2 linked regions of the Sus scrofa genome follow. The protein of the gene in region 2 purifies or fractionates together with the protein of the main gene of each other region. This does not show direct contact. Links are inferred from orthologs where the notes say so. Each region holds a gene or a part of one and is shown on either strand. Other genes may lie near its edges.

What was found. Proteins that work in one complex are often made in the same cells at the same time.
Region 1: the proteins of SNRNP200 (region 2) and DDX23 purify together in Homo sapiens (affinity purification with mass spectrometry; 3 studies listed by BioGRID and IntAct, counting the BioPlex papers as one, with this or other methods). This does not show direct contact. The link is inferred for Sus scrofa from reciprocal best matches to the Homo sapiens genes SNRNP200 and DDX23.

Annotation. Positions count from the first base shown.
Region 1 is NC_010447.5:14,906,931-14,911,012, forward strand, and holds the start of DDX23 (probable ATP-dependent RNA helicase DDX23), read right to left. Parts: upstream 2,812-4,082; 5' UTR 2,674-2,811; intron 1-2,673. UniProt on the Homo sapiens protein: Involved in pre-mRNA splicing and its phosphorylated form (by SRPK2) is required for spliceosomal B complex formation.
Region 2 is NC_010445.4:46,935,561-46,939,071, forward strand, and holds part of SNRNP200 (U5 small nuclear ribonucleoprotein 200 kDa helicase), read left to right. Parts: intron 1-2,015; coding exon 2,016-2,114; intron 2,115-2,478; coding exon 2,479-2,631; intron 2,632-2,736; coding exon 2,737-2,836; intron 2,837-3,012; coding exon 3,013-3,149; intron 3,150-3,511. UniProt on the Homo sapiens protein: Catalyzes the ATP-dependent unwinding of U4/U6 RNA duplices, an essential step in the assembly of a catalytically active spliceosome. Plays a role in pre-mRNA splicing as a core component of precatalytic, catalytic and postcatalytic spliceosomal complexes.

The DNA.
Region 1 (4,082 bases), on a different chromosome or scaffold from region 2:
TAACCTACAGAGCGAGGTCAGGGATCGAACCTGCATCCTCATGGATACTAGGCAGGCTCATTTCCATTGAGCCGCAAAGGGAACTCCTCAATAAAATTTTTTAAAAAACGAACTTATTTTATGTCCAAATGGTTCAGATGAAATATCAGTTCCCTAAACTTTAGCTTACAATTCCCATGTGATCCCTGCCATATATCTTTAAGAAGGTAGAGTAGGTAAAGAAAAGAAAAATTAACAAGTAGCACTTTCAAAAGGTGAGACAACCCATTTTACCCCAAAATTGCCTAAGGGGAGTTCCTATTGTGTCTCAGTGGGTTAAGAACCCAACATTGTCTCTGTGAGGATGTGGGTTTGAGCGCTGGCTTTGTTCAGTGGGTTAAGGATCTGGCATTGCTGCAAGCTGTGACAAAGGTCGCAGATGTGGCTTGGATCCAGTGTTGCTGTGGCTGTAGCACAGGCCTGCAGCTGCAGCTCTGATTTGACTTCGGGCCTGGGAACTTCCATATGCTGCAGGTGTAGCTGTAAAAAGGAAAAAAAAAAAAAGTAGACTTGTGCGGCTCAGGGGCAGTGAGGCAGTAACTTGGGGGAAGAACGATTCAAGATAAGTTCAGGGAGGTAGGCAGGAGTCAGATCCTGGAAGTGTGTTCTGGGCCAGAATAAGGGAACTTGGATTTTAATCTTACTGCAGTGGGAAACTTAGAAAGTTGTCAAACAGGAGGTGGTATGAACTTATTTTTCATTTTGATTACTTTGAATACTTTCACCACTACTTTGGTGCCTTACGAGAAAATATACAGTAGAGAGGCATGCGAAGACACAGAACAACTGAGAATGTTATTATAGTAGCACAGACAGGAGATGACAGCAGCTTGTTCTAGAAAAGTGGCAATGGAAATGAAAAGAAGGAGACTGCTTCAGGGCATATTTTGAAGGCAGAGCTGACAGGACTTACTGATGAAGCGAGGACACAAAAAGAGAGCTCCTAAATATGTGGTTTGACTAACATAAGTGGTTTGCGGTGCCATTAGTGACCAGAGCAGACTGGGGGGAAAAAAAAGATTTAGGAAGAAGTCAAAAGTTTCATTTTGACCATGTTGACTGTAAGATGTCAGTAAGAAAACCAAGTGGAGATTCCAGGAAAGCAGGTGAAAATGCAGTTCTGGAACTCAGGAGGCAGTGTGGAGACAATGATTTGAGTTATCAATACATAGATGGCGTTTAAAACCATTGGACGCTAAATAACATGACCTAAGTAAGCATTCTAGTTATAGAAGAGGACCCAGAATCAAGCTCTGGAACACTACATTTAGAGGCCAGGCACAGGAGGAGCCAGAGGAAAAAAACTGTTAAGAAACAACAACTAATAGGAGTTTCCGTCGTGGCGCAGTGGTTAACGAATCCGACTAGGAACCATGAGGTTGCGGGTTTGATTCCTGGCCTTGCCCAGTGGGTTAAGGATCCAGCGCTGCCGTGAGCTGTGGTGTAGGTCACAGATGTGGCTCGGATCCCGTGTTGCTGTGGCTGTGGTGTAGGTGGGCAGCTACAGCTCCGATTAGATCCCTAGCCTGGGAACCTCCATATGCTGCAGGAGCAGCCCTAGAAAAGGCAAAAAGACAAAAAAAAATAAGAATTAAAATTTAAAAAAACAGAAACAACAACTAATGAGAAAAAGAAAAATTAGTAAAGTATGGCGTCACAGAAGCCAAAAGTGTGTTTCAGTGAGGGAGTGGTTATCTGCATCAAGTGGAGAAAGACTAAGAGATGAAGGAGTGACCCTTACATTTAGAAAAGCAGAGATGGTTGGTGACCTTTGACAAGAGCTGTTTCGGTGGCATGGAGGGAGTAGAAGCCTGAGTGGAGTGAGTTTAGAAGAGTTAGAAGTGAGAATAAGAAGACAAGAAACGCAGGCAAGTTTTATTACAGGTACCGCTAACCTCCAGATCTTTGAGTTCCTCTACTCTTGCAGGGCAGGGGCAGAGTCTTTTTTTTCCCAGTCAATGAAGTGTGTACTTACCAAACATCCACTATATGCCAGGCACCGTGCTAGGCACTGTGTGAGTTACGAAAGGAAATCAGGAAGATCCTGTCCACGAGAAGCTTACAGAACAACAGAAGGTATGAGCCACATACCAAGATGAAGGCTCAGATGAATTATTACAGGAGTTCAAAGAAGTTTCCTTTCATTTGTAAGTGGGAAATTTGGAAAGATCTCTAGAGGAAGTGGCTCGAGCATTTAAATATAGGTAGAATTTGAAGATGTGTAATTGAAGGTGCCGGAAAGAAGCCCTTCCCGGCAAAAGAAATAACACAGGAGGCGCAGAGGCGGGAAAGCATGACTGGTTCTGGGAGAAAAGCCAGAGTTCCAATTTGGTTGGAGCAAGGGCTACTCGAAACATGAAGGAATAAGGTCGGGCTGGGGGTACCACAGGGTTGTGCCCACCGGCAAAGGTCCGGGCGTAACCACGTCCAGGAAGCTGCCCTGTGCCCCCAGGAACCAACACTCCCCCTGGGGCCCGCGCCCCTCCGCTCCCCCTCGGCAGAGCTTTCCAACCTCATGCCCCTTCCCTGAGGCGTTCTTCCCCGCCTCGCCCCGGAGGCAGGGGCCACTGCCGTGCCCTCACCCTCGCCCTCTGTGCAAGCTCGTGGGAATCGCTTCCACCGCCCGAGACTTACCACTCTTCAGTTCGAACCGCCCAACGCGGCCTCAACGTCGCCGAACAGCCGCCATCTTTCCCGTTTCCTGGTCGCCAGGCTGCTCGCCCGGCCGCGCGGCAAGCTGGGAAGACGAGTTCCTGGTGCTGGGGTGCGCCGGCTGACAACGAGGCCAGAGAACTACCAATCCCAGAGTGCACGGCGCGAGAGCCGGCCCTGGACCACCGGGGCCTCTGGGCAATGTGGTTCTCGAAACACTTGAGTCTGCGGGAGGAAGGGAGGAAGAGTTTTTCCTGGGTCGGCTCTCCTCAGAAAATTGTTCTCTCCGTGGGCGCAGTCCTATTAGAATAGGCTGGCTTTCCTAGCAGCTGCCTTTAAGGATTATCATGGCTTGTGGCTTACAACGGAGGAACTTAAGGCCTTCCTTAGATATCAATAGCACGTAATTGTAGTAGCAACTATAGTAACAACATCAAATACTTTACTGTTTGTGGGAAAGCATTTTTACCAAAAATCTGTGAGATAGGTGACTACCCCCATTTTACAGGTAGACAAACCAAAAGTTAAGTTACAGGAGCAGGCTACTATTTCCAGGGAGGGAGGGACAGTTCATTGTGGAAGACTGTCCCAGGTGTAGGAGGACATTTTAGTGATCCTAGCCCCGTGGTAACGCCCTAGTTATTATGACAACTCAAAGTGAGCCCACACAGGGGTTACAAAGACCGCCTGGAAGGATGGTAGCTCTGGGACTGTGGCACCTGGTTTTCTCAACATTGCAGATAGGACCTGCCTTCCTCACTTTCTTGCTCTTTGGAATCTGGCCAGTTTTTGATCCTTAACCCACTGAGAGAGGCCAGGGATCCAACCCACATCCTCACAGACACTTTGGTTTTTAACCTGCCGCGCCACAATGGGAACTCCCGTAATTTTTCTTCTTTCTTCTTCCTCCTTCCCTATCTTCAGCCCTCCAATGAGGTGTTTTGAGGTTTTTTTGTTTTGTTTTTACCCCAAATTGTACTTTCACTTTGTTTCTCTGTAATCTTATGCTTCATAGTTCAGCCCCTTCTCCCCGCCAACAAAAACAAAAATCTTTCCAACTTCTAGAAAAGTTTAGATAGACACCAGGAAGTAACTAATGCTGCCTCCTTCCTTCCTTTTTCCCCTCATTAGCTTTTTGGTTTCAATCCCACATGGCTCTAGGTCTTTTTTTGTGTATTTTTGTTATTGTTCTTTGTCTGTTTGTTTTGATTTTGGCCGCACTCAGGGCATGTGGAAGTTCCCAGGCCAGGGGTGGAACTAGCACCACAGCTGCAACCTGAGTCATAGCTGCAGTAACGCAGGATCTTCAATCTTCTCTGCCACAGGGGAACTTCTCACATCTAGTTTTTCTCTCCGAATATGTGTTCAGTTCTACTGAAGCAAAGCTTTGG
Region 2 (3,511 bases):
AAAATACAAATCATTATAAAAAAAAAACAAAGAATTTTTAGATGTAACAAATAGGAGCAAGCGGAGCACTTGAAAAAACATGTCAAGTTTTTTTTGTTTGTTTGTTTGTTTGTTTTTTGCTTTTTAGGGCTGAACCAACAGCATATGAAGTTCCCAGGCTAGGGGTCGAAATCAGAACTACAGCCTGCTGGCCTATACTGCAGCCACAGCAACTTGGGATCCAAACTGCGTCTGAGACCTACACCACAGCTCACAGCAATGCCGGATCCCCCACCCACTGATCAAGGCCAGGGATTGAACCAGCATCTTCGTGAATCCTAGTCAGGTTCATTATTACTGAGCCACGACGGGAACTCCGAAAAAATGTGCAAAATTGCCTAGAGTTCTCAATGGATGTTTGGCTCCTGAAAGATAAAAATGTCAGCTTCAGAATATCATAAACTGGGACAGGAAGAATGGGTTGCACAGGAGAGTCAGAGGAAAGAGCACCAAACTGGGAGCCAGGGGGGCTGAATTTTGGTCTTGTATTGGGCAGGCCTTTTTTTCCCCCACATCTGCGACATTTGGAAGTTCCTGGGCCAGGGATCAAATCTGAGCTGCAGCTTCGACGTACACCACGGCTGCAGCAATGTCAGGCAGGTCTTTTTGCCATTTCTTGGGCTGCTCCCTCAGTATATGGAGGTTCCCAGGCTAGGGGTATAATCGGAACTATAGCTGCCAGCCTATGCCAGAGCCACAGCAACGCAGGATCCGAGCCGCGTCTGCAACCTACACCACAGCTCACAGCAATGCCGGATCATTAACCCACTGAGCAAGGGCAGGGACCGAACCCGCAACCTCATGGTTCCTAGTCGGATTCGTTAACCACTGCGCCACGACGGGAACTCCCAGGCAGGTCTTTTTGTGTCTGTTTCCATCTGTCAAGTGAGGTGATTGAATATAGGTGACTGCTGGAGTTTCTGTCATGGCTCAGCGGAAATGAGTCTTTCATCTATGAGGACGCAGGTTTGATCCTTGGCCTCACTCAGTGGGTAAAGGAGCTGGTGTTGCCGTGAGCTGTGGTGTAGGTTGCAGACTTGGCTCGGATCTAGTGTTGCTGTGGCTGTGGTATAGGCCGGCGGCTATAGCTCCTATTTGACTCCTAACCTGGGAGCCTCCTTAAGCTGTGGGTGCAGCCCTAAAAAGACAAAAAGAAAAATAGGTGACTGTTGAACCCTTCCCTGCAATAGAGTTGGTTTATTAGGGGTTTATGATTTTAAGTAGCAACAGACTAAAAGAAAACTTTGCTTGTAGCATTCATTTATTGAACAAATACTAATTATTTTCTTGTTTTAGGAGGGTAGGACATTCAACAGTTGATAGCTTGATTTATAACTTTGAAATATTTAGATGTGTGCTATGAGAGCATGCTCTTTATTAAGGACCTACTTTTAATGTGGCGCCGTGCTCAGTATGCAGTACAATGTGAGCCGGCTTGTGAGTAAGGGCAGTAGTGATCCAGCCAAGTGTGTTCTCTACATTTCAGGATTACTGTGTGCTATCCCAAGTGTGCTTTTTTTCTTTCCTTCTTTCCTTCCTTCCTTCCTTCCTCCCTCCCTCCCTCTCTTTCTTTCTTTGTTTTGTCTTTTTACGGTTGCACCCTCGGCAAATGGGAGGTTCCCAGGCTAGGGGTTGAATCAGAGCTGCAGCTCTTGGCCTACACCACAGCCAACTGCAGGGCCGAATCCTTAACCCACTGAGTGAGGCCAGGGATCAAACCTGCATCCCCATGGATCCTAGTTGGGTTTGTTAACCACTGAGCCATGAAGGGAACTCCCCCAAGTGTGCTTCTTCTAGGTCTTTCTGCTACATGTACTCTGGAATGAGGCTGACTCTGATTCCCATAGGCTGTTGGTTCCACTGCAGAGCCTTTGCTCTAACCGTGGAGCTTATTTTAAGTGACTCAAGGGAGAGGTTCTATGGTGATGCCAGGATCAGCTCCAGATCATGAGTTGGGGTTGGGGCCCTTTCTGCAGGAAGGCGATGAAGATGTGTATGGAGAGGTTCGAGAAGAGGCGTCTGACGATGACATGGAAGGGGACGAGGCGGTGGTGCGTTGCACCCTCTCGGCGAATGTGAGTACAGCTTGCTCTTGCCAGCTGCTGCAGGGCAGGTTATTTCTGGGTGCAGCATTTCTTTCCCAGACATAGGTCCTGTTAACATAGTAGCTACTGAGCTACCTTTTTATAGGGTGAGCTGTAATAAATGCCTAGTGTCTTGATTTCTGTGAACTTTCAGTTGTTGCCCTCCTTCCCAAAGGCATGTGTTAATGAAATCTTAGTTTGGGGTACTCGTGAACTCAGTATAGCAGAATCTCCCCCCTCCACCCCCCCATGGCTATGGGTGGCCCTCAGAACTCAGTTGTATGATGATGAGACAGCACTTGGGGCAGAGGGAGGCACTGTGAGCTGGTGAGCTCAGTGCCTGGTCACTTTGTAGCTCGTGGCCTCAGGGGAACTGATGAGTTCCAAGAAGAAGGATTTGCACCCTCGGGATATCGATGCCTTTTGGCTACAGCGGCAGCTCAGTCGCTTCTATGATGATGCCATTGTGTCGCAGAAGAAGGCAGATGAAGTGTTGGAAATTTTGAAGGTATGGTCGGGATAATGTTTCTGTGTTCAGTGTATCTTAGCAGATGGAACAGTGTGGAAAGCAAATGGCTGTGTTCTTAATCATGGTGTTACCTTCTCTGTGCAGACGGCCAGTGACGATCGGGAATGTGAGAACCAGTTGGTTCTGCTCCTTGGCTTCAACACTTTTGATTTTATTAAGGTCTTGAGGCAGCACAGGATGATGAGTGAGTACATGAAGGACCCTTCTGTGGTGTATACATGCATGCGTGATGGTGGTTGTGTTGTTTTCACAGCCTTGCCACTTGTTTCATTTATTTTTCTTTCTGCCCCAAGGTTGAAGGTTGATTTTTATCTCATTCCCTCCTTCTCATCTTCCCTTTCTTCCTTTTGCTGTTGGCAGTCTTATACTGTACCTTGCTGGCCAGTGCACAGAGTGAGGCTGAAAAGGAAAGGATCATGGGCAAGATGGAAGCCGACCCGGAGCTGTCCAAGTTCCTCTACCAGCTCCATGAAACGGAGAAGGAGGACCTGATCCGGGTGAGGGCTGGCTTGGTTTGTCTGATTCCTAAACTAGAGTGTTTGCTTTGGGAAAGAGACATTAGAAGATGGCAGCATATGGAGTTCCCGTTGTGGTGCAGTGGTTAAGAATCCGACTAGGAACCATGAGGTTGTGGGTTCGATCCCTGGCCTTGCTCAGTGGGTTAAGGATCCAGCGTTGCCGTGAGCTGTGGTGTAGGTCACGGACGTGGCTCGGATCCTGTGTTGCTGTGGCTCTGGCGTAGGCTGGGCAGCTACAGCTCCGATTGGACCCTTAGCCTTGGACCCTCCATGTGCCGTGGGAGCAGTCCTAGAAAAGGCAAAGAGACAAAAAAAAAAAAAAAAGATGGAAGATGGCAGTA